2 linked regions of the Lonchura striata genome follow. The protein of the gene in region 2 interacts with the protein of the main gene of each other region in a biochemical or structural test. Links are inferred from orthologs where the notes say so. Each region holds a gene or a part of one and is shown on either strand. Other genes may lie near its edges. The genes, in order: methyl-CpG-binding domain protein 1 and ATF7IP.

Evidence for each region.
Region 1: the proteins of ATF7IP (region 2) and methyl-CpG-binding domain protein 1 form a complex in vitro, tested with the Homo sapiens proteins (2 studies listed by BioGRID). The link is inferred for Lonchura striata from reciprocal best matches to the Homo sapiens genes ATF7IP and MBD1.

The regions. Positions count from the first base shown.
Region 1 is NC_134638.1:838,761-853,611, forward strand, and holds the start of methyl-CpG-binding domain protein 1, read right to left. Parts: upstream 7,884-14,851; 5' UTR 7,787-7,883; coding exon 7,778-7,786; intron 6,908-7,777; coding exon 6,786-6,907; intron 6,314-6,785; coding exon 6,199-6,313; intron 5,894-6,198; coding exon 5,583-5,893; intron 5,339-5,582; coding exon 5,253-5,338; intron 4,868-5,252; coding exon 4,827-4,867; intron 4,723-4,826; coding exon 4,573-4,722; intron 2,960-4,572; coding exon 2,825-2,959; intron 2,703-2,824; coding exon 2,655-2,702; intron 2,549-2,654; coding exon 2,492-2,548; intron 1,492-2,491; coding exon 1,327-1,491; intron 287-1,326; coding exon 14-286; intron 1-13. Other genes in the region: CXXC1 (CXXC-type zinc finger protein 1), read right to left, coding at 8,644-8,784, 9,530-9,682, 10,185-10,281, 10,534-10,583, 11,084-11,194, 11,727-11,934, 14,193-14,377. UniProt on the Homo sapiens protein: Transcriptional repressor that binds CpG islands in promoters where the DNA is methylated at position 5 of cytosine within CpG dinucleotides. Binding is abolished by the presence of 7-mG that is produced by DNA damage by methylmethanesulfonate (MMS).
Region 2 is NC_134607.1:57,509,997-57,525,184, reverse strand, and holds the start of ATF7IP (activating transcription factor 7-interacting protein 1), read right to left. Parts: upstream 5,859-15,188; 5' UTR 5,576-5,858; intron 5,506-5,575; exon of another isoform or gene 5,324-5,505; intron 4,083-5,323; exon of another isoform or gene 3,978-4,082; intron 1-3,977. UniProt on the Homo sapiens protein: Recruiter that couples transcriptional factors to general transcription apparatus and thereby modulates transcription regulation and chromatin formation. Can both act as an activator or a repressor depending on the context.

The sequences.
Region 1 (14,851 bases), on a different chromosome or scaffold from region 2:
GGGTCCCACTCACCCTTTGGGGGGTGACGCTGGGCTCCGGGGGGGCCCCTTTGAGGCGGGGGGCCGAGGCGATGAGGAGCCCCAGGCGAGGGTCCTGGGGGGCAGGGGGGGTCACAGGGGGGTCCCAGGGGTCCAGGGAGGGTCCCAGGCAGCCGGGGGGTCTCACCTCGAGGCGGGGGAGGGGGCCTGCCTCCTCCTTCTCCTCCTTGATGGGGCAGAGGCGCAGGGGGGGGCCCGGGATGGGCCCGGGGCTGTTCTCAGCCCCCCCCAGCGGCTCCTCCTTCTCCTGTGGGGGAGGGGAAGGTCAGGGCAGCCAGGTGAGACCCCCCGAATCCCCCCCAGGTATCCAGGAGGGACCCCCTCCACCCCCCAAAAAGGAACCCAGTGTCTGCGGAGGACCCCCCCCACCTCATCCCCTGTGGGGAAACTGAGGCACACACAAGCCTTGGGGTCACAGGTGAGGGGACCGAGGCATCCGGGGGTTCCCCAAAACTCCCCAAAGCCCCTCCTGTGGGGGGAGGGCGGGGACACCTTGGTCCCCTCCCCGACGCCTGGGTCCCCCCGAGGGGGGAGGGTCCGTGCAGAGCAAAGCGGCAAAGCAAGCACAGCGAAGGGGTAGGGGGGGTTATTCCTGGGGGGGGGTCGGGGTGAGGGTCCCGTGGGGGTGGGAGGAGCATTTTGGGGTCCCCCCTGAGCAGAGGGGGGGTCCCGTTACCTTGCGGGGGGGGCGGGGCAGGCGGCGGCGGCTCCGGGCGGCGGCGCGGGGGGGCCGGGGGGGCCGGCGGCGGGGCCTGGACGGGGGGAGGGGGCGGCCGCTCCAGGGGGACCCCCAGCGACCCCCCCCCACCGGCAGCAGCCGCCTCTGCGCCAGGAGAGAGACCTCAGAGCGGGTGGGGCAGTTCCAAGGGGAGGGGGATTTGGAAGGGGAACAAATGCAGGGAGAACCCCCCCCAGGTGGGCCCGGCTGGCCGAGGGACCCCCACAACCCCCGTCTAAAGGGACCCAGGGCGAGCCCCCCCAAAGCCAAGCAATGCAGGAAGGACCCAGGCGTCCACACAACCCCCCCCCCAGAAACAGGACCGAGACGTCCAGGTGCCACCTGAGCGCCGACCAATGCCCCCCTCCCACCCCAAACTTGTCCATACTGGTCCAAACTGGGCTGCACCCAGCACCGGGGCGGCCGGGGGAGCCTGAACCTTGCGCGTGCCTCAGTTTCCCCAGCCGAAGGAAGTCGGGTTGCTGAGGAAAGGGGGCAGAGGGGACGGCTGGGGCTCGCTGGGAGGTTACTGGGAGGCACTGGGAGGAAGCACTGGGGGGGGCACCCACCATGGCACAGCGTAGGCACTGCCTCCAGCGGCACTTCTGGCGCTTGAGGTTCTGCCCCCCGAATTTGGGCTTGTCCCGGCAGAAGTCGCAGCGGCCGCAGTCGGCCGGGCGCCGGCAGGCTGTGCACACCCCGCAGCGCCGGCTGGCCCGGCTCCGCGCCCCCCGCTGCCGGCAGAGAGCGGCGTCACCCCCGGCTCCCCGGCTGTCCCCGGGACCCGCCGCGGGGGCGTCCCCAGGGCCCGCCCGGTGGCCTGGTGTTAGTGTGGGAGCAGCTATTAGGAGCGTTGCGGTAGATGCGGCGGTATTAGGGGCATTACGGCAGCCAGGCAGCAGCAGTGGGTTAGCAGACATTCCGGTAGGAGCAGCTATTAGAGGCATTATGGTACTGAGCCCAGCTATTTGGGGCATTACGGTATCTGCACACTGCTATTGATACCTTGGTTCCTGCCATTACAGCTGGAGCGGTTATTAGGAGGATTATGGTAACCAAACCCTGCTCTGAGGGGTTTTGGGGTACCCGAACCCCATTATTTGGGGCATTACGGTGCCCCAAGCCCACAGCTGGGGTTGCTCAGATGTCGCCATTAGCTATGTACAGTTTTTGAGGTGTCACAGTTACCCCAGCATTAAGGGTATTATGGCTCTGCCACACCAGTATCAGTGGGGTTCGAATGTGCTGAACCCCAATATTCAGCCTTGGAACGGCTCATAGGAACATTACGGTACCTGCACCCCATTATTGCAGAGCCTGAGCCCTGGTATTATTGGCTGGCACAGCCTTTAGGATAATTACGATATCTGCACCCCATTATTCTGGGTCCTGAACATCAGCATTAGGGGCTGGAACAGCCACTAGGATCATTACGGTACCTGCACCCCAATACTGCCCCCTTTTACAGGCCGCTATATTAACAACATTACGGCTTCCCCTGCCCCAATAGCTGCTCTGGGAGGGGCGTGGCCACTGCGGGTGGGCGGGGCTAAGGGACAGGGGGCGGGGCCAAGGCCTGTCACTCACCCCGCGGGGCCCAGGGGCCTTCGGGGGTCGCCCCAGCTTCTTCTTCTCCTTGCCCTTGGTCAGCGGCTTCTGGGAGGGAGGGGGGGTTTGCGGGGGGGGCTGGGGGTTCCAGGTGTGCCCAGGTGTGCCCAGGTGTGCCCCACTCACTCTGTGCCTGGCGCTGGAGGCGTCGCTGGGCTCCCGCTCCACCAGGGGCTTCCACTTCTGGGGGGAGAAATGGGGCTGAGGGGGGGACACCTTGGGGTGCCCCTTCCCCCAGAACAGCTAGGGGGGTCCGCGCTGTGCCACCGCCCGGGGGTCCCGCACTCACCTCCGTCAGGGGCCGGGGGCTCTGCGGCTTCTTGGCCACCCTGGCTTTCTGGGGGGACACAGGGTGGGGGGTCAGCAGGGGACAACGGCGTGGGGGGACAGGGCAGGGTGACACCCCGAGAGCGGGGAGGTGCCGGGGATGGCAGGGTGACACCGAGGGGACAGTCCCACCTTGGGGCGCAGGCAGCGGCGCCGCAGGCAGCGCCACTGGCGCTTGAGGCCGGGCTGCAGGCGCCGCAGGCAGATGCAGCAGCTGCCGCAGTCCTCGGTGCTCAGGCAGCCGGAGCAGGAGCCGCAGCCCAGGCCCTGCGGGGACACCGGGGTTACCCGGGAGAGCAGGGAAAACACGGGATAACGTGGGGAAACGGGGGAAACAATGCAGGGAAATGGGGGAAAACAATGCAGGGAAACGGGGGAAACAACACGGGGAAATGGGGGAAACAACACGGGGAAATGAGGGAAACAAGGCAGGGAAACAGGAGAAAACAATGCAGGGAAACGGGGGAAACAACGCAGGGAAACAACGCAGGGAAACGGGGGAAACAACAAGGGGAAATGGGAAAACAACACGGTGAAACGGGGGAAACAACACGGGGAAACGGGGGAAAACAACGCAGGGAAACGGGGGAAACAACGCAGGGAAACGGGGGAAACAACGCAGGGAAACGGGGGAAACAATGCAGGGAAATGGGGGAAACAACACGGGGAAATGGGGGAAACAAGGCAGGGAAACAGGAGAAAACAACGCAGGGAAACGGGGGAAACAACGCAGGGAAACGGGGGAATAACAAGGGGAAACGGGAAAACAATGCAGGGAAACGGGGGAAACAACGCAGGGAAACGGGAAAATATGGGACAAGACAGGAGGAAAACACAGGGAAAAAACATGAAGAAAAAAATCATGGGGGCAAAAAACACGGGAAAAAAACACAGGGAAAAAACACATGGAAAAGAACATAGAGGAAAAGATGGGGAAAATATGGGGGGAAAGCACAGGGAAAAAACATGGAGAAAAAAACATGGGGAAAAAAACATGGGTGAAAAAACATGGAGAAAATACAGGAAAATAGGGGATAACAAACATGAGAAAATAGGGGGAAAAAACACAAAGACAAAAAAACATGGGGGAACAAACACAGGGGAAAAACCTCAGAGAAATATGGGATAACAAACATGAGAAAATACAGGCAAAAAACACAGGAAAACACAGTAAACATGTAATAATATGGAATAATATAGGAAAATATGGGGAAATATGGGAAAAATAGGAAAATATGGGATAATATGGGATAAACATGGGGGGATACAGGAGAACATGGATGAATGTGCAGCCACAAAGGACAGAGGGACAGGGGGACCGGGAAAAGGCAGGAGCTGTAGCCTCTGTGGGGACATGGGCAGAACATGGAATAACACAGAAAATACTGGGAAAATTTGGGATAATATGGGCTAGCACGGGAGAATACAGGACATGGGTGGATGTGCCAGCACAGATCAGGGACAGGGGGACAGGCCAGGAGCCCTCCAGGGGACATGGAATAACGTGGATGACAGGGAATAGAGTGGAATAACGTAAAATAATGAGAGACAACAAGGAAAACACAGAACGTGGGCTATCAGTAACACAGAGTAACACTGATAACGTTAATTAACACAGATTAATGTGCAGCACCACATTCCTCCCCAGACAACAGAGAGGACAAGGAGGTGATAAAGAGGTGACATAGGAGGTGACAGCAACATGGGGAGAGGGAGGATTGCGGTGACATTGAGGGGTGGCAGTGACAAAGGGGTGCTGGTGACACTGGGGGGTTGCTGGTGACACTGGGGGGTTGACAGTGACATGCAGGGGTGCTGGTGACACTGGGGGGTTGCTGGTGACACCCAGGGGGGTGACAGTGACAAGGGGGTGCCGGTACCTTCTTGACGATGCGCAGGCAGCGGCGCAGGAGGCACTTGGGGGTCCGGCCGGGCCCGGAGGGACCCCCGGGGGGGTTGCGGGCGCAGGCGCTGCAGATCCCGCAGTCCTCAGGGATGCGACAGGCCTGGCACGTGCCGCAGCCCACCCGCTGTGGGGAGGGGGTGTCAGGGCTCTGGGGGGGTCCCCCAAACCCCCTGAGGGATCTGGGGAACGCCCAGGGGCACCTTTTCCCCCCCTGAGAATTGGGGGTACCTTGTAGAATCGCTGCTCCCTGTTGAAGTCTCGTCTCCGGGCTGGGGAGGTGGAGGAAGGGGGTCAGGGTCACCCCAACTTTCTTGGGATCCCCCCTGACCCCACTCCCAAATTTCTTTGAGCTCCCTTCCCCCCCAGAATGGTCCAAAAGAGAGAGAAAGGGAGGCAGGGCAGAATCAGGGAGGAGGAGGAACGGGAAGTTCCCGAGGAAAAAAATTACAATTATGGGGTTGGAGCAATTCAAGGAATGATGATGATGATGATGACGGAGAGGGAAAAGCCCAGGGAATGAAGGACAGGAACAACAGGAAGATGAGGAAGAGAATAAAACACAAAAAGCTCTGAGAGAGCTAAGGAAGATGGGAGAAAGAGAACGAGGAGGAGCATGCAGAGGATGAGGAGGAGGGCGCTGAGGCCGAAGCTCACCACGGCAGTCGGGGCAGAGCCAGCGGCAGCGGCGCTGGGGGGGCAGTGACACCCCCGGGAAGAGGCTCTGGCAGCCAGCACAAAGCCTGTGGAGGAGAAGGTGGCATTTTGGGGGGGGGGGGCAAGGGAACCCCAACACCCCCACTGCCCCCCAGGATCCCACAGCCCCGAGAGAACCCCCCTACTCTGAATTTCCCCCCAGGAACCCCTCAAACTCCCCCCAGGGATTCCAATCCCTCCCTCCTGGGGTCACCCCCTGCTCCTGGGACCCCCTCCCCACACCTGGGGACCCCCACAGCCCCCCAGGGACCACCCCCCTGCCCCACTCACGCCACCACCCCATCCTGGGGGGGCTCCAGGGGCGGCCGCTTCCGGCTCCTGCGGTGGGGGGGCTCCGGTGGGGGCGTGGCCACGGCCGAAGGGGGCGTGGCCTCGACCAGAGGAGGCGTGGCCTGGCGAGCAGGGGGCGTGGCCTGGACGACGATGGGCGGGGCCTGAACTGATGAGGGCGGGGCCTTCTCTGTCTCAGCCCCGTCCACCTCCACCTCCACCTCCACCTCCTCTTCCTCCTCCTTTTTGAAGATTTTGGGGGGCTCTGGGAGGGGCCCGGCGGGCAGGTGCCATTTGGGGCTCTTCCTGGGCTGAAAGGCACAAAAGGGGGGGTCACAAGATGGAGGGAGATCCCCTTGTGAGCCCTCCCCCCTTCCAAACCTCCATTACAGCTCCTCCCCAATTTAAGGACCCTTTTTTTCCCACCCACCCCCCAATTTTGATTCACCTTAACCTCATTCCCCTTGTTTTGAGGAGCCCCTTTTATCCCATCTCTTTATTCCACCCCCACTCTTTTCCTGTTACGAGGCTCCCCTCTCAGGAGAGCCCCAGGTTTTCCTCCCCAAGGTTTTTTGGGATTTTTGTGCCCCCTCCCGTGGTTTTTAGGGTCCCATACCCGTGTGGGGCCGGGCCGCTCCAGCCCCGATTTGAAGTCGAAGTTGCTCAGGTCATGCCCAGGGCCCAGGAACCGCCGCAGCTCGATCTTACTGCGGAACTTCTGCCCTGTGGGGCTGCCAGGGGGCTCGGGTCAGACGGGCCCCAAAACCCCCAGGAACGGCCCCAAAACCCCAGGGGGGTCGCTGAGCCTGGGGGAGCCCCCAAATGCCAAAGGGAGAATGGGAAACGGGGACGGGACAGAGCTCAGGGTACCCCAAAGTTCCCCTGCGATCTCAAAAAGGCTCTCCCGAGCCCCAGAATAGCCTGGAAAACTTGGAGGGGACTGGGAGTATTTTGGGAAAGGGGAATTGAAGTGGCTGCGGGGAGCTCCTGGAGGGGGAGATGGGAGAGGGGCTCTGAAATCCCCCATGAAACACCAGCAGGGGTGGGGGGGTGTGGGATTCCTTAAAATTAGAGGGTTTGGGGGCTCGTTTTGGGGCCAAATGGACACGGGATGGGGTCTAGGATGGGAGGAGGGAGAAGGGGCAGCACGGGCAGTCCCGTGGGGGTGGGCGGGGGGCGCCGGGGGTTTTTGGGGAGGGGTACCTCCTGTAGTAGGTGTCGCTGCGGCCGCTGGTGGCCCCGGATTTCCGAAAAGCTTCGCGGCGCTGCCAGCCCGGGCCCAGCGCCGGGCACTCGGCCCAGCCCTCCGCCATCCTGCGGGGGGGCTGGGACCCCCGGGAGGGGGTGGGGAGGGGGTCACGACCGGCCCCGAACACCCCCGGACCCCTCCCCCAAACACAGCCGGGCCGCGCCCCCTCCCCACGTGACTCCGTCCTCCCCTCCCCCACCGCCAGGGCCACCCCCTCCCCCACACAAACACAGCCCCGAGCCCGCAGGGACACCCCAAAACTGCCCCGCAGCCCGAACTGCCCCTCCCCAAACAGCCCTGAACCGGCCCTCCCCCTCACAAACAACCCCAGGCTGCCCCTCCCCCTCGCCAACAACCCTCGAACTGCCCCTCCCCCTCACAAACTGCCCCTCCCCTTCCCAAACAGCCCCTGAACTGCCCCTCCCCCTCACAAACTGCCACCAAACTGCCCCTCCCCCTCGCAAACTGCCCCTCCCCCTCACAAACTGCCCCTCCCCTTCCCAAACAACCCCTGAACTGCCCCTTCCCCTCACAAACTGCCCCTCCCCCTCACAAATTAACACCAAACTGCCCCTCCCCCTCACAAACTGCCACCAAACTGCCCCTCCCCTTCCCAAACAGCCCCTGAACTGCCCCTCCCCGTCACAAACTGCCCCTTCCCCTCACAAATTAACACCAAACTGCCCCTCCCCCTCACAAACTGCCCCTCCCCTTCCCAAACAACCCCTGAACTGCCCCTCCCCGTCACAAACTGCCCCTTCCCCTGGCAAACCGCCCCCAAACTCCCCTTCCCAGCCCCCTCCCTCACGCCCCTTCCCCCAGACGAACGCCCCCCCCCCCCCCCCCGCCCCTTCCCCCTCAGGGCCGCCCTTCCCCACCGGCCGCGTCTCCCCGCTCGCTTCCCTCTCGCTCCCCGCTGCGGTCCCGCAGCCCGCCGGGCTCTCACCGTTCCCATCCGCCCCCGCCTGTGGCGCAGCTCTTCCTCTTCCTCCTCCTCTTCCTCCTCCTCCTCCGGCGAGGCCGCGGGGGGCGGAGGGGGCGGGGCCCCGCACCGGAAGCGGAAACGCCGGGCGGGAAAAGCGAGGGGCGAGGGGTGCGGGTCACGTGAGGCGGAGTAAACCAATGAGAAAAGGCAGAGCCAGGGAGGGGCGGGGCGATACGCGACCCGTGGAGCGGGGGAGGCACGTGACCGCGCGGCACGTGACGCCAGGAGGGCGGGGATATGTTAATGAGCTGTGTGTGGGCGTGGTTATGCTAATGAGTCCGGAACATTCCCCTCGGGCTCATTGGGGCCCTTTCCCCTGCCCAGGACCCCCTGGACCCCCCCAAAGGACCCCCAAACACCACCAGGGACCCCTCCCCACCCTCCCCACGGATGCTGCTCTCATATCCCCCCAGGACCCCCCCCCAAAGGACCCCCAGAAACCGCCAGGGACCCCCCAATCTCCCCATAGATGCTGCTCCCATTTCCACCTCTCCCACCCCCTAAGGACCCCCCAGTCTCCTCAGGACCCCCCCAAGCTGCACCAGGGCCAGCAAAGGGATCCCCATGGCCTCTGCAGGGTCTGGGGTGGTACCAGAACCCAGGGCCTCCCAAAATTCCCCCAAAAGGGACCCCCAGAATCCCAGAGACCCCACAGGAGCCCCCCTAAATCCCAACAACAGCACAGGGACACCCCCAGACTCGTTTTGCACACCCGGTTTATTTGGGGATGGGGGAGCACCCAGGAATCAGGGGTGGGGGGATGTGGGGAGGGGTCGGGGGGGTTTTGGGGCTCCGGGGGTGGTCAGCGGTCCGAGCCAGGCCCGTGGTCAGCGGTCCGAGCGCAGGTCCGTGGTCAGCGGGTCGTGCTGGATGGTTTGGTGCAGCATCAGCGCCAGCAGCCCCGCCCGGTTGGTCATGGCCGCCCGCACGTTGCGCTCCTGCTCGAACAGCTCGTCCAGCTTGTACCACTGCGGGGGACAGGGACAGTGTGGGGACAGGGACAGTGTGAGGACAGGGACAGTGTGGGGACAGACACATGGACAGTGTTGGGACAGGGACAGTGTGGGGACAGCATGGGGAAGGGACATGGACAGTGTGGGGACAGGGACACTGTCCTGCTCGAACAGCTCATCCAGCTTGTACCACTGCGGGGGACAGCGACAGTGTGGGGACAGGGACAGTGTGGGGACAGTGTGGGGACAGGCACAGTGTGGGGACAGGGACAGTGTGAGGACAGGGACAGTGTGGGGACATGGACAGTGTGGGGACAGGGACACTGTCCTGCTCGAACAGCTCGTTCAGCTTGTACCACTGCGGGGGACAGCAACAGTGTGGGGACAGCGTGGGGACAGTGACACTGTACTGCTCGAACAGCTCATCCAGCTTGTACCACTGTGGGGGACAGCGACAGCGTGGGGACAGGGACATGGACAGCGTGGGGACAGGGACAGTGTGGGGACAGGGACATGGACAGCGTGGGGACAGGGATAGTGTGGGGACAGGGACAGTGTGGGGACAGTGTGAGGACAGGGACAGTGTGGGGACAGCATGGGGACAGGGACATGGTCAGTGTGGGGACAGGGACACTATCCTGCTCGAACAGCTCATCCAGCTTGTGCCACTGTGGGGGACAGGGATAGTGTGGGGACGGCGTGGGAACAGTGACACAGACAATGTGGGGACACCCTGGGGACACCGGGCGGTGGCACCCACCACGCGGACGCGCTCCAGGTCCACCTCGGCGCGGCGCAGCTTCTCCCAGCAGTAGTGACGGTGGCACTTGCGCTTGGGGACGCGGCAGAAGTCCCCGGTCAGCTCGAAGACGTCACGCACCAGCGGGCACCCGCACACCTCATCCGCGGGCACCTAGGCGGGCACGGGGTCAGCGCCGGGCTGGGGACACCCAGAGCCCCTCCGCCACCTCCATGGCCACCCTGGGGTCCTGCCAGTGTCCTGGGCACTGCCCCTGTCCTGTCCCCTCACGTCCACTTTGTGTCCTGGGATTGTCCTGGCCCTCCCTGTGCACACTTTGGGGTCCAGGGAGCGCTCGGGGCACAGATGCCCTAAATTCCACCCCAAAATCTCAATCTGTGCCCACCTTGGGGTCCCGGGAGTGCTCGGGGCACAGATCCCCTAAATTCCACCCCAAAATTTCATTATGTGCACATTTTGGGGTCCCAGGACTGTCCTGGGCACTGCCCCTGCTCCCCAAAGCCCCCATGTGCCCACCTTGGGGTCTGGGAGTGCTCAGGGCACAGATGCCTTAAATTCCACTTCAAAATCTCATTCTGTGCCCACTTTGGGATCCCAGGAGCACTCGGGGCACAGATGCCCTAAATTCCACCCCAAAATCTCAATCTGTGCCCACCTTGGGGTCCCGGGAGTGCTCGGGGCACAGCACCTGCAGCCTCTTGCAGTAGGTTTTGCTCTGGGGGTTGTAAACGTCACAGAACAGCCGAGTGGCCCTGGAGGGGACACAAGGGGTGTCCTGGGTGGGGGGGACAGGGTGCTGAAGGACTCCCCACCCCACCCCAGACAGCCACAATCAAACTCCCCCTTGGGTGCTCCCCTGGGGGGGATGACACCCCCACCCCAAAAAGTCTCCCTTGGGTGCTGCCCTCCCCCTTCCCAGGAGGATTTAGGGGGGTGGGAGGACCCCCCTACCCCAGAAAGCCCCCCAGGGTGCCCCCCCTCCCCAGAGCCCCCTCCCCACTCACCCCTCGATGCGGGTGGGGTACATGGACCCGAAGGACGTTTGGCTCTCGTACTGCAATGGGGTGGGGGAGGTCAAAAAGGGGGCAGGGATGGGACCCCTGAGCCCACCCTTGGCCCTATGGACTCCCAACCCCTATAGAGCCCCCCCGAGCCCTCCCATAGGGTCCTAATGGCCTCCCAGCCCCTATAGAGACCCTCCCCACAGAACCCCCAGTCCCTACAGAGCTCCCAGCAGGTCCTACAGCCCCCCCAGCCCCTATAGAAACCCCCAAAGTTCCTTCGCAGCGTCCCCCCAGCCCCCTAGGAACCCCCCCCAGTCCCCCCAAGCTGAGGGAAGGGATCCCCGTGGCCACTGCAGGATCTAGGAGGGGTGCCCAGCTCTGGGGGCTCCCAAAGTTCCCCTAAAAGGATCCCACAGGAGCCCAGAGAGTCCTGTGGATGATCCCACAGACCCCATGGATGATCCCACAGCAGCCTGGAATGCCATGGATGACCCCAAAGACCCCAGGAATCCAGAGGTGCCCCCAGACCCCCCCCAAATCCCGGGATCACCTTGGCGTAGCAGCGCTCCATGTGCCGCAGGGCCACCTTGGGGTTGATGGGGTGGCCGCAGGACACGCAGAAGATCTGCAGGTCCGTGTCCTCACTGTCCCCCTCCGTGCTCTGGGGGGACAGCGGGGTCAGGGGGTCCAAGGGGGGACCCAGGCATTGGGGGGACACAAGATTAGGGGGCTCCAGGGACACGCAGATGCTCCAGGGAGAGGTTTGGGGGGACCCAGGTATCCATGGGGGACCCAGGACAGGGCTCAGGAGAGACTCAGAGATTTGGGGGATGCCCAGGGGGCACCCAGAATGGGGAAAAATAAAGGGGTTTGGGGGCATCCCAAGAGGGACCCAGAACTAAAGGGTTTTTGGGGGGCCCAGCCCTGCAGGAGCTGAGTGTGGGTACCAGGACAGCAGAGGGGTCTCAAGAGAAAGCCAGAACAGGGAGAATGAAAACATTTGGGGGCACCCAGATATCCACGAAGGACTAAGGGGGATCTCAAGAGGGACCCAGAACAGGGAAAATTAAAAGATGTGGGGGCAACCACGTATCCATAAATAACCAAGTGCGATCACAAGAGGGATGCAAAACGGGTAGAATGAAAGCATTTTTGGGGTCCCCAGCCCTCCGGCAGCCCCGGGGGGTGCCCACCTCCTCGTCCTCGCGGGGCGGGTGCCCCTTGGCGCGGGCGATGAGCCCCTCGAGCTCGTGGAAGCGCCGCTCCATCTCCTGCAGCCGCAGCCGCGCCTGGTGCTGCTCGCGCCGGATGCGCTCCAGCAGCCGCTTGCCGTGCTCCTCCGCCACGCACGGGCTCTGCTGCCACTGCTGGATCCGCTGCGGCAGGATCTCGTAGATCCGGCTGGGATCGGGGTGAGGAAAGGGTTAACGGGGGCTGTGGGATCACAGGGATCCATTGCTGGATCCGCTGCGGCAGGATCTCGTAGATCCGGCTGGGATCGGGGTGAGGAAAGGGTTAACGGGGGCTGTGGGATCACAGGGATCCATTGCTGGATCCGCTGCGGCAGGATCTCGTAGATCCGGCTGGGATCAGGGTGAGGAAAGGGTTAAAATGGGAGCTCCAGGATCCCTGGCATCCACTGCGGCAGGATCTCGTAGATCCAGCTGGGATTGAGGTGAGGAAAGAGTTAACGGGGGCTGTGGGATCACTGGGATCCACTGCTGCATTCACTGTCACAGGATCTCATAGATCCAGCTGGGATTGGGGTGAGGAAAGGGTTAACGGGGGCTGTGGGATCCCTGGGATACACAGCTGGAGATCCGCTGTGGCAAGATCCTGCAGATCCAGCTGGGATCGGGGTGAGGAAAGAGTTAATGGGGGCTCCGGGATCCCTGGGATCCACTGCTGCATTCACTGTCACAGGATCTCGTAGATCCAGCTGGGATCGGGGTGAGGAAAGGGTTAACGGGGGCTGTGGGATCACTGGGATCCACTGCTGCATTCGCTGTCACAGGATCTCGTAGATCCAGCTGGGATCGGGGTGAGGGAAGGGTTAATGGGGGCTGTGGGATCCCTGGGATACACAGCTGGAGATCCGCTGTGGCAAGATCCTGCAGATCCAGCTGGGATCGGGGTGAGGAAAGAGTTAATGGGGGCTCCGGGATCCCTGGGATCCACTGCTGCATTCACTGTCACAGGATCTCGTAGATCCAGCTGGGATCGGGGTGAGGGAAGGGTTAATGGGGGCTGTGGGATCCCTGGGATACACAGCTGGAGATCCGCTGTGGCAAGATCCTGCAGATCCAGCTGGGATCGGGGTGAGGAAAGAGTTAATGGGGGCTCCGGGACCCCTGGGATCCACTGCTGGATTGGTTATGGCAGAATCTTGTAGATCCAGCTGGGATCGAGCTAACAGTTAATGGGGAGTGCAGGATCCCTGGGATCTGCTATGACAGGATCTCATCAATCTGGCTGGGATCGGGGTGAGGAAAGGGTTAAAATGGGGGCTCCGGGATCCCTGGGATCCGCTGCGGCAGGATCTCGTAGATCCAGCTGGGATTGGGGTGAGGAAATGGTTAATGGGGGCTGTGGGATCACTGGGATCCACTGGCGGATCCACTGCTGGATCTGCTATGGCAGGATCTCATAGATCCGGCTGGGATCCAGGTGAGGAAAGGGTTAATGGGGAGTGTAAGTGGTTTATACTGGTCTGTACTGGTTTATATTGGTCTATACTGTAGAATGGTTTACCATTCTGTACTGGTTTACACTGGTCTATACTGGTTTGCACCGCTCTGTACAGATCATTGCTGGTTTATACTGCTCTGCGCCATTCTGTACTGGTTTATACTGGTCTATACCAACCTGTACCATTCTGTACTGGTTTATACTGGTTTGTGCCATTGGGTACTAGTTTATATTGGTCTACACCAGCCTGTACTATCCTTTACTGGTTTATACTGGTCTATACTGGTTTGCATCACTCTACAGATCATTGCTGGTTTATACTGATCTGCGCCATTCCGTACTGGTTTATACTGGTCTATACCAGCCTGTACTGTTCTGTACTGGTTTATAGTGGTTTGTGCCATTGGGTACTAGTTTATATTGGTCTACACCAGCCTGTACTATCCTTTACTGGTTTATACTGGTCTATACTGGTTTGCATCACTCTACAGATCATTGCTGGTTTATACTGATCTGCGCCATTCCATACTGGTTTATACTGGTCTATACCAGCCTGTACCGTTCTGTACTGGTTTATAGTGGTTTGTGCCATTGGGTACTAGTTTATATTGGTCTACACCAGCCTGTACTATCCTTTACTGGTTTATACTGGTCTATACTGGTTTGCATCACTCTACAGATCATTGCTGGTTTATACTGATCTGCGCCATTCCATACTGGTTTATACTGGTCTATACCAGCCTGTACTGTTCTGTACTGGTTTATACTGGTTTGTGCCATTGGGTACTAGTTTATACTGGTCTACACCAGCCTGTACTATCCTGTACTGGTTTACACTGGTCTACAGCAGCCTGTCCTGTTCTGTACTGCTCTATACCAGCCAGTACCATTCTGTACCAGTTTATACCAGTCTATACCAGCCTGTCGTGTCCCGCACTGGTTTATACTGGTCCGTACTGGTGGGTACTCACTTGGCAGCCAGTTTGATGCCGCAGGCCTCGCTGCAGTACTTGGAGGGCGGGCGCGCGGGGCGGGTGCAGCCGGGGCCCAGGCACTGGCCCAGCCCCGCGGGGTCGCGGGCGTCGGCGCGCTCGGGGTGCCCGCGGCGCTCGCGGTGCCGTGCCCGCTGCCGGTGCCGCTTGTAGCGCTCCTCCTTCTGCACCAGTAACCCCCAGTGAGCGCCAGTAACCTCCCAGTAAGCTCCCAGTAACCACCAGTCATAGCCCAGCACTGCCAATGCTGTGCCCGCTGCCGGTGCCGCTTGTAGCACTCCTCCTTCTGCACCAGTAACCTCCCAGTAACCTCCCAGTAATCACCAGTCATAGCCCAACACAGTCAGTGCCGCTTGTAGTGCTCTTCCTTCTGCACCAGTAACCTCCCAGTAACCTCCCAGTAATCACCAGTCATAGCCCAACACTGTCAGTGCTGCTTGTAGCGCTCTTCCTTCTGCACCAGTAACCCCCAGTTAGCACCAGTAACCTCCCAGTAACCTCCCAGTAATCACCCAGTCTCCACCACTCATAGCCCAGTAACCTCCCAGTCACCACCAGTCATAGCCCAACACAGTCAGCGCTGCTTGTAGTTCTCTTCCTTCTCCACCGGTAACCCCCAGTTAGCACCAGTAACCTCC
Region 2 (15,188 bases):
ACATTTAAAAACAAGTACTTGGGACCCAGCCATCTAATTTCCTAAATTCTCAAATTATTTGATGTTTGTTCATGAAAAAAATAAGAGCTAGTAAGTCCTATGTACAGTTTTTAATAATTTGTAACAAGCACGGCTCAAAATACAACAAGAGGCATAGTTCACTTTTGTTTCCCAAACAAAAGCTTTCCCAGAGAAACATAAAAGGTATTTATACAAGATACAGTCATTTACACAATGTTGTGAATTGTTCCATTATCATGGGATGGAAACTGACATACCACTAAAAATTACAGTTATTTAGTACTGTATAGTTAGTACCATGCTCTCAGCTACACCTACAAGGGAGTCTTTACTTTCAAAAAACCCCTGAAAGATGGGGGGAGGAATGGAAAGGGGAAGGCAGATTTGCTGTTAAATATACAGGCAATTTAAAAAAATATACACCAGCAGTACTAAACAAGATAAGGAGTGAGCAATGGAACTAGCAAATCCACATTTCATACAAACATTGTCTTGCTACTTTTTACTCGGGTTATCACTCATTCCTTACTACACCAAGCAAGTAAACACTGGACACTGGCTCATGTACTGACTGATAGCAAGTTATTCCCCCAAAACAACATATAATTTCAAAACTCCCTCACTGCCAACACTGGTAAACTCTCCTCACTCCAGCTGTTCATTTTCTCAGACTTTACAGATATTAATTATTAATAATTAGTAATTATTAATAACTAATAACTATATTTGATACTTATTTTTATATTTACTGAAAACAAAAAAGTTTTGCAATAACTACTAAGAATAGAATAACTAGCAACAAATGTTCACATAAAAAAGGACATGGGCTTGTTGGAATGAGTCCAAATGTAGGCAACCAAGATGATTAGAGAGACTGATCCCCTCTCCCAAGAAGAAAAGCTGAGAGAACTGGGGTTGTTCAGTCTGGAAAAGGCTGTATAGATACTTTCGGGACCTTCCAGTGCTTATAAAAGAAACCTATAAAAGAGTTGGAAAATAACTTTTTATAAGGTTATGAGTTACAGAACAAAAAGTAATGGATTCAAGCTGAAAACCAGTAGGTTTATATTAGATATTAGGAAGAAATCCTTTCAGGTGAGAGTGGTGAGGCACTGCAGTGAGGTGGTTAAATTGTGAGGAATGCCTCACCCATCTAAGTTTTCGAGGTCAGGCTGGATGGGACTCTGAGCAACCAGGTCTAATGGAAGATCTCCCTGCACTTCAGGACAATTGGGAGTAGATGATCTTTAAGGTCTCTTCCAAATCAAACCATTCTATGATTATGATTTATTTTTCAGTTAAAGCATTCTGGCTTTTTTAACGCTATCTAGTACAACATGAGATGAAAGGAAATACAAAGCTATATAAAAGTCATATGCAACGGAAAAATCTGCTTACAACTTTGGAATACGTTTTGGCCTATATATATCGTCAGACAAACAGTCAAGGAAAAACAGCGTTAAGAACTAGAACACTCATTAAAACCAGAATATGCAATTTAAGTTAAAAAATTGCCCTCCAAACAAAACAGACTCTCCTTTCTGAATCACACTTCCACAGGAAAAAATAATGCATTCTGAAGAGCAAGTTTCTAGAGAATGAATATCAGTGCTTTATATTTACATCAGATGACACTCACTTTTATAGTCTAATCTGTAGACTGATACTGTACTTCAGTTAGATGCTTTCAAAGACTTAAGCATTGTACACACAAAATCAAGAACTTCTTGACTGCCATTATTATAAAAATACAAAACGGAAAAAGAAGTTAGAAAAACCTGAACATGAACAAAAAATGAAGACATCTAAAAACGCTATCAACAATACACAAAATCTTTTCAGCCAAATAAAAACTAAGATCTCCATAATATTATGTAAAATTATGCATTTGAGAAAATAACCAGAACTCAGAAGCTGAAACAATCTGTGTTCCAGAGCCTCCTAACCAAGTATTAAAAATATTATAAGTTACTTCCTCTGACATCATCCAGTAGGCTTTAGTGTCTAAACCAAGGCCCAAGTAGAGAAATGTTAAATATTAGGTATTACACAATTCATACCTAAACCATATTCAGAGATTAAGATATTCTACAGCTATCTGACTTGACAAGAAAAATTTACTTTAAAAACAACTTAACTTTCTGCTTTTAATGAGCTGTCAAAAAACCAGCAAACAAAAAATCTTGCCACACACAACAGCCCTATATTACTCTCCAGCCTGTATTTGGACGAGTCACTGTTGCTTGATAAACAGCTTCTTACAGTACAGTGGAACTAGGAGAATTTTTTCATGCAGTACACACAGTTCAGTGAGCAGAACTGAAATACCAGGACTACAAATATTCATCACCAAAGCAGCATTTATATTGACCAGTTCACAAACTCCCACTAATTTTGTGTGAATAGGTCAATCTCTCAGAGTAATGTTGCATACTAGAGAAGATCAAGGAGACCAATGAGAGATATTTCTCAAAATTATTAATAACATTATATTTCATTGCACTTAAGAGCGGTATTAAAAATGTATCAAGGAGAGGGAAAAAATCCCAACTCCTCACACTCACATATCGTAACAGTTTTGTAACTTGCAACTTATTTTCTTCATTTATTACCCCTTAAGAAAATTGTGATGAACTCCCAAAATAAAATCATAATGTAAACATGGAACTAACTCATAATACAGAAAAAAACACCAAAGGTAGAACAAATAGTAAAAAAAAAATTAACGTGTAAACTATTAAGTAAGAACAAGATACTGGTTTAAAGGATCTTTTGGCTTACATTCCATTAATAAACTTCTGCTTACATTCCATGAATAAACTTGACATTTTTGCCATATGTATAGTTTCTGACAATTAAATTGAGATAAACCTAATAAATAGTTACATCAATAAAACATCTAAATGGTGAGAAATAAGGTTTTTTCCCTTATTTTGAAAACAAAATACAGTATTTGGCTTAGTCAGCTCCTTTTCATGGTGAAAATACTTCTAGTTTGTAACAGGAAACACACGCAAATACAAAGAAAATTGAGTTACTAATGACAAATCAGTATTTTAGAATTCATTGAACATACAAAACATTTCTGTTTGCATTGGATTCTGTAAGAGCAATATTTAAAATTTAATTATTAACTAGTAACTTTTATTAAGTTGTTCAGACTCTTTCTCGGCTAGCAAAATCACCTTCCAGCAATGATGGTAAGAAAGCATATGCTTATGTGTTTTATGTCCCCAAGGGAAGCATTACTAAAGGAGCTTTTATAGAGAAATTCACACATTACAATTAATGTTGATTTTTTAAATTTGTGAAATGAGTACAATAATAACAAGCTACTGCTTATAGAGGTACAGGAAATGTGGCAAAATGATGTGCGTGTCTATTAGAATCAGCATCTTCTTAAAAACAGACTTCATATGGGGTAGAAAATTAGAGGTCTCACAAAAAAAGCACCAGAATAACTACTTAAATTGATGCATATAATTATTGTTGTATCATTTTACAAATAAATACTGCTTTGATCAGTTTCAAGTCTACATGACATCCAAGACACTCTCTTGATAAGTTATTTCATACAGCAGAATGCAACACTGTTCCGTACTATCACAGAAAGCATCAGCTCAGCACTGCTACAGCTGGTAGAAAGGTTGCAGCTGATACAAACACCATTTACTCCAAAATAATGTACTATGTTCTCTAACCTAGAAATGTAACAAGAATCCAAAGTTATTATTAATATAATTCTCTCTGGAATATATACACATAGAAATTTAACTTGGTACTTTTGGAGCATGTAAAATAATAACTGCTGTATGTCAAGAATAAATAGTGAGTGCAGTTACCACGATTCATGAGTTGCATAAATCCTCATGTAGTTCTTAGTGAATTTATTTTATAATTGGCCTGAAACAACCACTAGCCCCATTTCATAGATCTGAAACTCAGACATTACCTACCCAGGATCACGTATCAAACAGCAGTGGTTTTTGTGTTTGGTTTCTTTCCCTTCAAGAAATTCTTAATATCTGCAGCAACACTCTCCTTCATACCTTCCTGCAGGACTGCAAAAACCAACACCTAATTAGAAAACCATCTATTTTTTACACTGATAACAGATCGTTGTGTACAGATTTCATATTTAACTTATTAATTCCACATTTAAGCAGAGATTAAGAACATTCTACACTCTTCTGTTTTTGAAAAAATAAGTATTCTGAACTGTAACAAGCACATGTATATATTTTAACTTCCAAAAGAGATACAAATAGCATGCTTGTAAAATAGTCTTATCTTGCAGAATTAAGTTCTAATAAACGTATTCATGCATTTCTTTGTATAGTTGCGGATATTAAACAAACATACCTATTAACATACTTCCTCTTGTTAGCATAGTAAATGTCTAGATGTGTAACGTTTTTCTGTGACCGAAGCCTGCATTTTAAGCTCACTGACTGCTTCCTAGAACAGCAGAGCTGTTCACTCCTTTATTTTATGCAAGTACTTTTCCATCAACATTTCCATCCAACTTTTCGAGTAAGTCTATCTATGGTAAGGATTGCAGTCATACGACGTTATTAGAATGATTTCAAGATTACTGTTAAGCAACAAAATATCCTACTATCAGCATTTCCACCGAATATCTGCCAACGACTGCAAAATCCAGAAAGATGGATTTTGCTAGAACAAGCTACTCAAGGGCAAGGCTACACCAGGCCTCAGAATTAAAGAAAAAAACCGCTTAACTCTGAAGAGTTTCGATATTTAAAATACTTAAGCTAAGGAAGAGGAGAGGTTGGAATGTACCTTCTTTAACTTAGTTCATGTCTTAAACTCTTTTGCCATGCTGCCTGATATGGGCAGCCATGACACCTCGAGGAGCCGCTTGGGCCTTGTTTACTGGTGGCATCACACGAGTAAGCACAACTTGCCTTCTCTGTTGCCATACAGAAACTGTCTGGTTCCCAATGAACAAGCATATCGATAAAGCAGAGAAACTGGCTCCTGGTGCCTACCAGTGCAAGAACACCATCAACAGTTTGCCCTCGTTGCTTGCACAGCCCATGCGCTGCGAGGTCCCACGCCCGCCGCGCCGGCGCGGCCCTTCCCGGCGGCGCCAGACGCCGCCCCGGGCGCGCCAGCCCAATCCCGGCAGGGAGCGAGGGAACGCTCTCGAGGCGCCGGACGCCCCCGTCCCACCCAAACACGCGCCGCCGCCTCGCCTCGCCTCGCCCGGGCCGCGTGAGGCGGGTCGCGCCCGGGCGGGTGCCCGCTGCTGCCCGGTGCGCGCCCCCGTCAGACCCACCTGCGCCCGCGCCGCCGCCGCCGCCAACCCGCGAATGCAACGGGCACGCGCACGCGCGCCACCGCCGCTGCACTGGAGCCAGGTCACGTGCTCCCATGCATGCGCGTGTACAGAGGTGCAGCTTCCTGGCGCATGCGCGCTGTTGCTGCTGCAGCAGCTGCAGTCGCCGCCGCCGCCGCGCGGAGCAGCGAGCACGGCCGCCGCCGTGCCCTGCCCGCCCGGCGCCCGCGCCCCGAGCGCGCCCCGCAGTACCTGCGCCCTCGCGTCCCGCGGCAGCTCCCGCCCGAGCAGCCGCCGCCGCCGCCGCCGCCGCCGCGGATTCAAACTCGCAACGCGCTCCGGACGCCAACACCGCCTCCCCGCGTCACACACGCCGGCCGCTATGCAAATTAGCCCAGTGTCTCCTCCCCTCTCTCGTTTGGCCCCGCCCCCTCCGTGGGCACAGGGGCCGGCAGTGGGGGGCTGCTCCGGAACCGGCCAATCGCAGGGCCGGCCATCTGCGTGGCATGCAAATAAGCCTCCGTGATATTTAAATGAGCAGTGGCCCCGCCCCCTGGCGCGCAGCCGTGCAAGTGTAGGCGCATTAAGCGCCGGGGCGCGCTGCGGCCGCTGCCGCTAGGGGGCGCTGTGGCGCACCGAAGGGCGGTGCCGGGAGCAGCCGGCCCAACCTGCCTTGCTTCCTGCCTTCCTCTCTTCCTTTCCCAGCTTCCCGCCACAGGAGCTCCAGAATCGTGGCTCTGCAGCCTCTCTGACACCTTCGAAAGCCCGCCTGAAATCCGCCAGGCTGCGTTATCAGTGAACTGCAGTGCTCTCTGCTCATTCCTTATCACGCCTCGTGTCTCACTTCTGGGCTAGGGTTGTGCCTGACCAAAGCCCAGATGTTTGATAACGTGCGCTGAGGTTCAAGAGGGCCAAGAAACCAAACGGTGCCTGTTAGTTCTTGCTTTTAGGTGAATCTGAAGCACATGGGTAATCCTGGGTGCGCTTCAGGTCAAAACCACAAGTGCTATTCCCCATCCACCCTCCATGTCTGCCTCAGGCACGGGGGAGAAAAACACGCAGCCTGCTTTGACGTGAGCTAGAACTTGGTGCTCTTTGTAGCACAGCCAAAGGCAGAACTGACCAGCTGGTGGTCTGTCACATGAGGCATGGGTCAGGTCTAGGAGAGAGACACATGGCTGTGTCCTTAGGTACACAAGAAACCATGAGAGCAGAGATAAGCATGTGTAGATTCTTGGCAGAAGCACCAGTCACCTACTAATCTGGTACTGGAGAATCCTGTTCTCTCCTCGTTAAGGCAAATAAAGATCACATGCTTCCTATTGAAGGTGTGAAAACCAGCATTTTTATTTGTTTTCTTGAAAATCAAGCTAAATATAAATAAATTTTCTGTCTGTCATATATGGACCAGGCTGACCAATAGGCTTCTCTGTGCACGTATGTCATGAAACCGTATCTATTATACAGCCATTTTCAGAGTCCTGTCAGGTGTGCTTGGTGGATTGGCTAAGGAAACTTTCCTGTGTGACTACCCAGGAACCACTCTGGCAGTTACACTTGCACCACCAAAGCTGGGACTGAAGCTGCTTTGCACTGGCGGCTCCAGCAACCAATGGGTGCCTCACTTGACTTTCTACCCTCACCACACTCTCAAAGTCAGATCAGGTTTTCCTTACTGGTTTGACGCCAAGTTTCCTATAGCAAAGTCTCCAACATCTGGATCCTTAAAATAAAAAAATCACAGTGCAACAACAGAATAAGACCTGGAGTTGGTGCTTTGGAGGAGGGATCCTGAATAAAGGAAGCCCTGAACTTTTATACCCTCCCATTCTATGCACACTATAGTCTGAGGTATTCCAGCTGAGTCCTTGGCTCCTGCCATGTCTCTGAGTGTCCCGATCACGTGGCAAATGCCACAGGCCCTTTGCTTCCATTGTTGTGCAAAGGGCTGCCACCAGTTCACAGCCTCTTGCCCCTCTGGGACTCCTGCCGCCCAGAGCTCAATCTGCAGCTGCACTGCAGCTATACACCGAGCTACCTGCACTGAAGGTTTTCCTCAACAGATTGAGGGGCAGTAGTTTAGGGTTCTGCCATTCCCAGTGGTTTGCCTGATCTCTCTGCTACTTGTTGTTGTTGTTGTTACACAGCCAAGATGCAACAAGGAAATGTACACGCGCCCATAAATTTGCAAATACGTCACAACAGGGTTTAAGAAGGGGTACCAACCTGGAACTTGAACAGCTGAAATGGGAACATGCATCTTCCTCAGTGTCTTTGCTACAGGCATGAAAATTTCTAAGAGGAAGTGTGGTAGAAACCTGTAACCATAATGTCTTAAACTTTCATTGTTGAGCTACAGTTTCATAGTGAAATATTTTGTCTTGAAAAAAGGAATACATTAATTTGAAGTTGAGTCTTCTGAGCTTTTGTGTAGACAGACTACAAGGTTTTTCAGAAAGAAGAAGCCAGAACTACCCAGAAGTGGGCAGTTCATAGCCATGCCTATTGTTTAACTTGTAAATTCCCTTCTGGTGATCACTTTTGCAGGGTTCTTGCATAAAAATCCTTTGTGAGTCAATCAGGATTGAATGCTTTCTGGCTAAAAGATGAGTTTCCAGAAGACCGTGAATCTCTTCAATCTCTATAATCTCTTTGAATAACTAGTGTTATTTGAAACTTAATTTAGTATAGAAGCCATTACAGCAAGGCACTTTTGTTCAATGCAATACAATTCATGTAGTAAAGAGAGAGTTAAGAACGAGAGCTAGCACCAATCTCTTCTCTCTGGCAACCAGTGACAGGACATGAGGGAACGGCATGCAGACGATTCAGGGGAGTTGTATTAATGTAGCTGTTTTAGAAAGTTAGTGTCCTGCTACGGCATTTCAGATACCAGCAGCAGTAATAGGACTGTATCCTTAAATCTGAAGAAAAGATAATATTTGAATTACAAGATTAGGAATTTGAGGAACTGAAACTCCAGATTTTTGTCAACCACTCTTCCTATGACTGGTCACACATTTGAAAAAGCAATAGTATTAGTTAATATTGCCCAGCATCTTTGCAAGAGGAATGTTAAAATAAAAAAAATTCAGAAAAACACAACTTCATCAACTTGTCTCTATTTGCAAAATGTGAGGGTTTTGCTGTAAAAGGCAGGTGCAAAGCAAACAGTACGCTGGAATTAAATTAACAAGACAGAAAATTTTAACACCACAAAAAAATAGATATCCATCTAGTTTCCTGTCTGATTCCTCTATTAGTGTGTTCAATCATTGTAATGATAAACACAGAGAAAAACATATATTCCAATGCACTTTACAAAAAGAATGTTAAAAATTGGGCATCTTAAGTGCAACAGAGAATTTCTTCTTGATTTCCAATTCTCCAATGAACTTCATTCTTAAAATCTGTATACAATATTTAATTTTCTTATTTCCAGGTAGTGTTATAGGACACCTTCCAGCCTATGAATATCACTAGAAATCTGATTACATGATCATTCTCTCTGTATATCAGATTGTGTTAGACGTGTGATATTAACAACATTAATATTTTCAAAATATTAACTCTCCCCATATGATTTAGTAATTGCTGATGGAGTCATTGCAGGGTCACAGTGGGAATGCTAAAAGGAAGAAAGGAAAGTGATGCATGAAGAAAGGTACAATTCTCAATACGAAAATATACTTTTTATATAAAGACAACTGCTGACTTTTAATAAAAACAAAAGACAATCGTAAGAAATATTTAGCAAGAGGGAAAAAGTAATTTTATTTCCAGCAATTTTAAATCCTTACTGGAGAACATGTATTTAAAGACCTCACTTTGCTAAATGGCTGACACTTTTGAGCCAGTAGGATTTACATTGTTTTTAGTAAATCACTAGTTTAGTCAGTGTTTCTTACATATTAATTGCCTAATAGGATGGAATGATTAAACTTATCTGATTATAAACAATTCCTACACAGGTCAAAAGAAACACCATAATACCAGAAAGTCATTTCACTAACAGAAATATTTTTGGTAAGAAAAAAATAAATCCTTATCTGACGACCTGATCTGTGATTTGGCACTGTTATGTTAATGGTTCAACTTGCTAATCATAGAGGTCTTTTTGAACATTAACATTTCTCTTGATTTCAGTCTTCAAGAATTTCACTATGAAGGCTTAAAATATCACTGATAAAGGAATTGCATGTTAACTTTCTGGTAAAGAAAAACAGAAAGCTTTTTAAATTCCTTTTTCATACAAGGGCGCTTTTTTTAATACAAAACTTTAAGAACATCTGTGAATTTATGTTAAGACATTTTATAAATCTTTTAAATATATTAACTTCACAGTGTAAGAACAAAGAGCAGAAACATGGAGAATATAACGAAAATACTTGAGGAAATATTTCTGTAATTAATTAAAGCTGGTTAAGGCATTTGCACTTAGGTTACTTTTCACAGTAGATTAAGTACCTTCCTCTAATGTGAATTTTGTAAAATATGCTGTTTTTATCTATTATCTTTAAGGCTAAGTAGAGGATTTGGGGAAAATTCCTAAATGTTCTGTATTCCTCTTTGATTTTATGTTAGTTTTAAAAAATAAATTTTACTGATTATGAAATAAATATTCTCCTGATCAGCTTTTTTTGATCAAACTTACTTTGTTGTGACTTTGGTGTAGTAACTAACTAATTTATTTGCTGAGCAGACATATTTAGTTTAAACGCCTACCAGTCATTTTTCCCATGGAGTTGTCCTCTCTCACTTCGCTACCTTCCACCTCCACCTTAACAAATAATATCTAACTTCATTTATGGTTTTAATAAGAAAATCTTATTTTGTAGCAGTGATATTTGTATAATTCAGTGGTAAGTACAAAGTCCAATTAATGAAAAAGCCATGTTTTTTCCAGTTTTTAAAATTTGTTCTACTAAACTATCAGTATTTTGAGATACAGGCAAGTATCTTGTCAATTTTTATGCTTAACATCTATTAAAGAGTCTATCAGACTTTGAAAGAAAAAGTGATTTTAACAAAATGTGATGTGATTGACAACCGGAATCCATTAAATGAACATCCTTTCCAGAAGAATCTAAAAATAAAGTGAAACTGAGCACCAATCAGGAACATTTTTTGGAAGGAATAGCCTGTCTCCTATTGTCTCATTTGATATGAGAAACTTGGGAAACCTAGTTGTAAAACCAGTACCTAATATACAGGATATAATCACTAGAAGTATTCATTTGGCCATGAAATAAGCTGGTTGCCATCAAGTGTGTTGACTGAAATTTAGTTCCTGAACACAGTTCTCTTTCAATTACTTCAGGAAAATTGCTCTAGAAATAACTTGGTGTGGAAGATGTCTTTCTTCCTCTGAAAACGCAAAGTAATACAAAGTCGTCAGGTAAAGTAGCATTGTTATTGCAGTACAAGTTGAGGATTTAGTGCTCAGTTTTAGCTCCCATAATACTTTTTAGATGCACAATGCTTTAGACTACACAGTTTTCTGAACATGTGTCTCATTAAGTTTTATCCAATACAAGTATTTTTAGAATTGGGTAAAGAAATATAAAGAATATTTTCTATGATTCCTCCTTGGGAATATATTTTGACCTGTTGGAAGGAATCTGTCTGAACATGTCTGGAATGTAATGCATACTGGATGTTTTCAATAAATAAACTGATCATCTCATCTGCAAATCATCTGAAATGTGTGGGTTGATTTTTGTCTATCCTGAATGTCCCTTAGTCTAAATAAATGAAAAATGAAAAAAAACTGACCTTGAATGCTGAGCAACAGAAATACATTGGTAAAAGGCGTACCCTCAGGGTGAACCATTCTTCTCTCAGTTTTCTTATTCTCAGCTCTAGCCTTAAGCTTTTTTCAATGTCATACCCGCTTTAGATCCTTCTAGAAAGTGGAAGACTCATGGGTTAATTAAAGTGGTATGTCTCAATAAATTATGCATGTCTGGAGGAAACTGCCAGTGAAGAATCAGATGCTGAGTGATTTACTAACAACTTTGAAAGGTAAAATACTTGGGCTTAGCAGCAGTGAACTTTTCAAGATGATGTTAATTACATAATAACTGGAACTTCCCAGTATGATCAACCTTCTACAGACTTGCTGGAGACTTTGTAAATAAAAAATTGGCTGACAGATGAAGGGTGGAATGTAAGAAACAGTTTGTTTGGATTTATTTACTTAAAATTATCAGTTTTGTTACTTCTGTATTTCCAGCTTGGGTTGAATTTTCTCCACGATGTCTTAAAGTGAAAATGAAGGATAACTTAAACCTTACTGTATTTGTACAAACCTAAAAACGCAATCATATTTCTAAAAAAAAACCCATCAAGTTTTGGGTTTGTCTGTATTCAGTTGACCATTGTTTTTGCTAGAAGTCATTGTCTTCCTTTAAAGACTCTTCCTAAGTGAAGTTGTCATGTGGTATTTTTTGGCCAGATTCTGAGTACTTTGTCAGTACTTCTTCCTGTAGGGTTTTATTATGTAGTAAACAAAGATGAATATTTCTTTTATAAAAATAGCTTAGATAATATCCAACCTTTCCTCCAATACTGAGGCATGGAATTAACCAAGACACATGATATTCACTGATACTGAGTAAAGTCATCAATAAATGGAGGAGTCAGCACTGCCCATTGGCAGTTACCATGCTGTTACTTAATAATGCATTTAATTTCCATGAATTAGAATAATTTTAGATGATTTCTCCAGAACATTGGTGTACCTGGGGAAGTGAGAAAGAAAGGAAGGTGGGAAGGCAGGAAGGCAGGAGGGGAGGGGAGGGGAGGGGAGGGGAGGGGAGGGGAGGGGAGGGGAGGGGAGGGGAGGGAGGAAGGAAGGAAGGAAGGAAGGAAGGAAGGAAGGAAGGAAGGAAGGAAGGAAGGAAGGAAGGAAGGAAGGAAGGAAGGAAAACACTAATAGGAAAACCTACTTAGAATTTGGCTAAAAGGCTAACATGTACATATAGAGAAAAATCTTACCCCTCTACCACTGTAGCAGAGCCCTCTCACAGAGACATTCCCTATGGTCCACATTCTCCACAAGCTTCACTTACAACATGAAAAAAAGCTCCCTGAAATTACTCCACTCCCTAGCAATGTCCGGTTCAAGTTTTGTGCACTGCCTCTCCCAATTACTTACTATCATTATCTCTAATTCCTTCAACCACATGTCAGACAACAAAACAGACTGGGGTGACTTAGCCTTGTTTAACAGTCAGATCCCCACTCAGCTGCTTTCTCACTCCCCCTCTTCAACAGGGCCAGTTAGAAAAAATAGATTAGGACAGTCAAGACAGACAGTGAAATCACTTACTTGTTATTACTGCTGGGAAAAGAGACTTGACTTGGGGAACATTAATTTATTGCCCATTAGAATTGATTAGGGGAATTAGCAAAATTAAAACACCTTTCTGCCTTCCCTATCTCAAAATAAGTAGAGCCCAAAGTTATTATTGTGTAGTAAATAATGTATTTCCTTTTATTCTTCACTTTTTGATAACAATGCTGAAATGTTAGTTCCTTTTAACACAAGCTGGTACAGGTTCTTGCTTTGTTTCTGTTTTTCTGCTCTATCTTATGAATTGAAATTTTAATGTCTTCTTGACATAGCTCATGTAAGTCATTACTATTAATACTTTCAACATACAATTAATTATTAACAAAATAATATTTTCAAATGTAGCTAATTTGTTTCAAAATGAGGTGAACAACTTAGTAAAATTAAAACCAAATCATTATCTCATCATACTCAGTTTTTTCATTATGATAGGGTAGGGCCATATTTATAACGCAATCTTTTCTGTGGAAGAAGTATCCCTGTTGGAGCTGGATAAAGAGAAATGGCTCATGCAAAAAGCCCATAGATACATTAAAGATGTTGTGCTGCCACTCACTTGAGGACATTGTTTAATGGTTTAAACTATGGGTTGACAATTGGACTTGATATTAGAGGTATTTTCCAACCTTAGCGCTTCTAGAATTCTGTGATTCAACAGCATGTTCTAAGTGCTTATAACATCTTTGAGCAAATTCACTCTTTACTTTGCGTTTTCACCCAACTTTCAGGTGCCAATGCTACTCTTCAGAATTTATTTGAAAGAAAATTATGTTTTACTTTCATTTGTATTACATTAATAGCACTTAATGAAAATATTAAAATTTATTTCATTGAAAATGCAGACTTTTTTTAACCAATAAACATTCATTGTGTGACCTCCGTTATCACCATCTTCTGTTTCTAAAGAGAAAAAGATCTCTAGAACTCCACACCCTAACCAGAATTAAATAGCCCACTCTCATTATGCTAATGATGAGTTGCCTAAAATTAGAGGAATACATAATTTTTTAGTGTATCTGATAGTAACACTGTCAGACACCAAAATAAAAGTTTTTGTGTGAGAGATGACAGAGAAGTAAATACATCACAACACTTAAAATAACATACCTTCCACACAGTGTTTGATTAACAACAGACCTGGACAACTACAGAAATAATTGTCAGAAATACCACTAGAATATTTGATATATTTTGAAAGATTGTATCTATTAAAACCTGCTTAACTAATTAAATTTATGCAGTCATCTTTTCTGTCTTTACATCCTTCTCTTCATAATCACTCTTCCATTCCTGTCCCCAAAACTTGACCCATCAAAATATATTTTAATATTGTATTGAAAACTGGTCACAAGTGGCTGTCAGGGAACAAAACTCTGAACAAAAAAAATTAAACCCTCAGGTAAATAGTCATCCTATTTCAGATTACTGAGGGTTTTAGATGCATTTCTTTCCAGTCTTCTGTGTAGTTCTGCATTTTGTTCTAGTCTCTTGCTAATGTCCAGCCCATTTACTTCTGAGATGTGTCCACAAGGCATGTCTCTTTTTTGGCTGCTTCAACAACTCCAGGGTGTCCATGGTTTTTCACTTCTACCAGAAATGTTGCAAAGGGGTCATAGGTTTGTGCTGTTTCAGATTATGCTTGGATGAATAACTTTCTTGTGCTTTGCAGGTTTGTGGCTTTTTTTAGTGGTCATGCTCCCTCTAATTTTAAAGTGGCTTCTTCAAATAACTCAAAAGTAACAACCATTTGCAAGAAGGGTTTTGGGCTTCCCTTACACTGTTCTGCTTCTTGCCAAGGATTAGCACCATGGTTTTACTTATTACTTACTTCCTAAATCACTGGTGGAGTGGTAAGTGGGAAGAGTAGTTTTCCTAGAAAAGGAAACAAAATGCCTTTAGGGATTTTTTCCCCATTCAAGATGATCCCTTCATGATGTCTTCTCTCTGGGCATGCTCAGGCATGTCCACGCATGTGTGCAAACGTTCTTCAACTCCCATAAGTACCTTTAGAGGAAACTAATTCCACCAACATATGGATGGCATTCATGGAAATAACGCATCTGCCTGTTGGCAGAACCATGACCACAGTGGTGTGCATGATATTGGGTAGTGCAGCCCACTTGAATGTCTGGGTTCTGCTTTTAGTGAACAAAACTATGAACAAGATGTTTTCATCGTGCTTTTCAGAGCCACGGAGTGGCCAATGGTCACATAACCATGTAGGGCAATGCAGGGAATGCAGCCTGGGCTCTGTGACACTGGTCTATGGGTGGAGCCCCAGGGACCCAGGGCCATGGCAGCCTCAGCGGGACCCATTCCCTGGCAACACGGGAGGGATTTGGTGTTGCCTGACACCCCGGACTTGGAACATGAGGTACCTCTGGAGAGGTTAGAACATGGCAGGGAGGGGGGGAGAGGGTGTGGCCCCAACAGGGCAAGCAGCAGGAGCAAGGATCGGCTGAGGTGGAAGGGGCACAGTGGGTGTCTGTAGGAAGGTGCTGGGTGTGC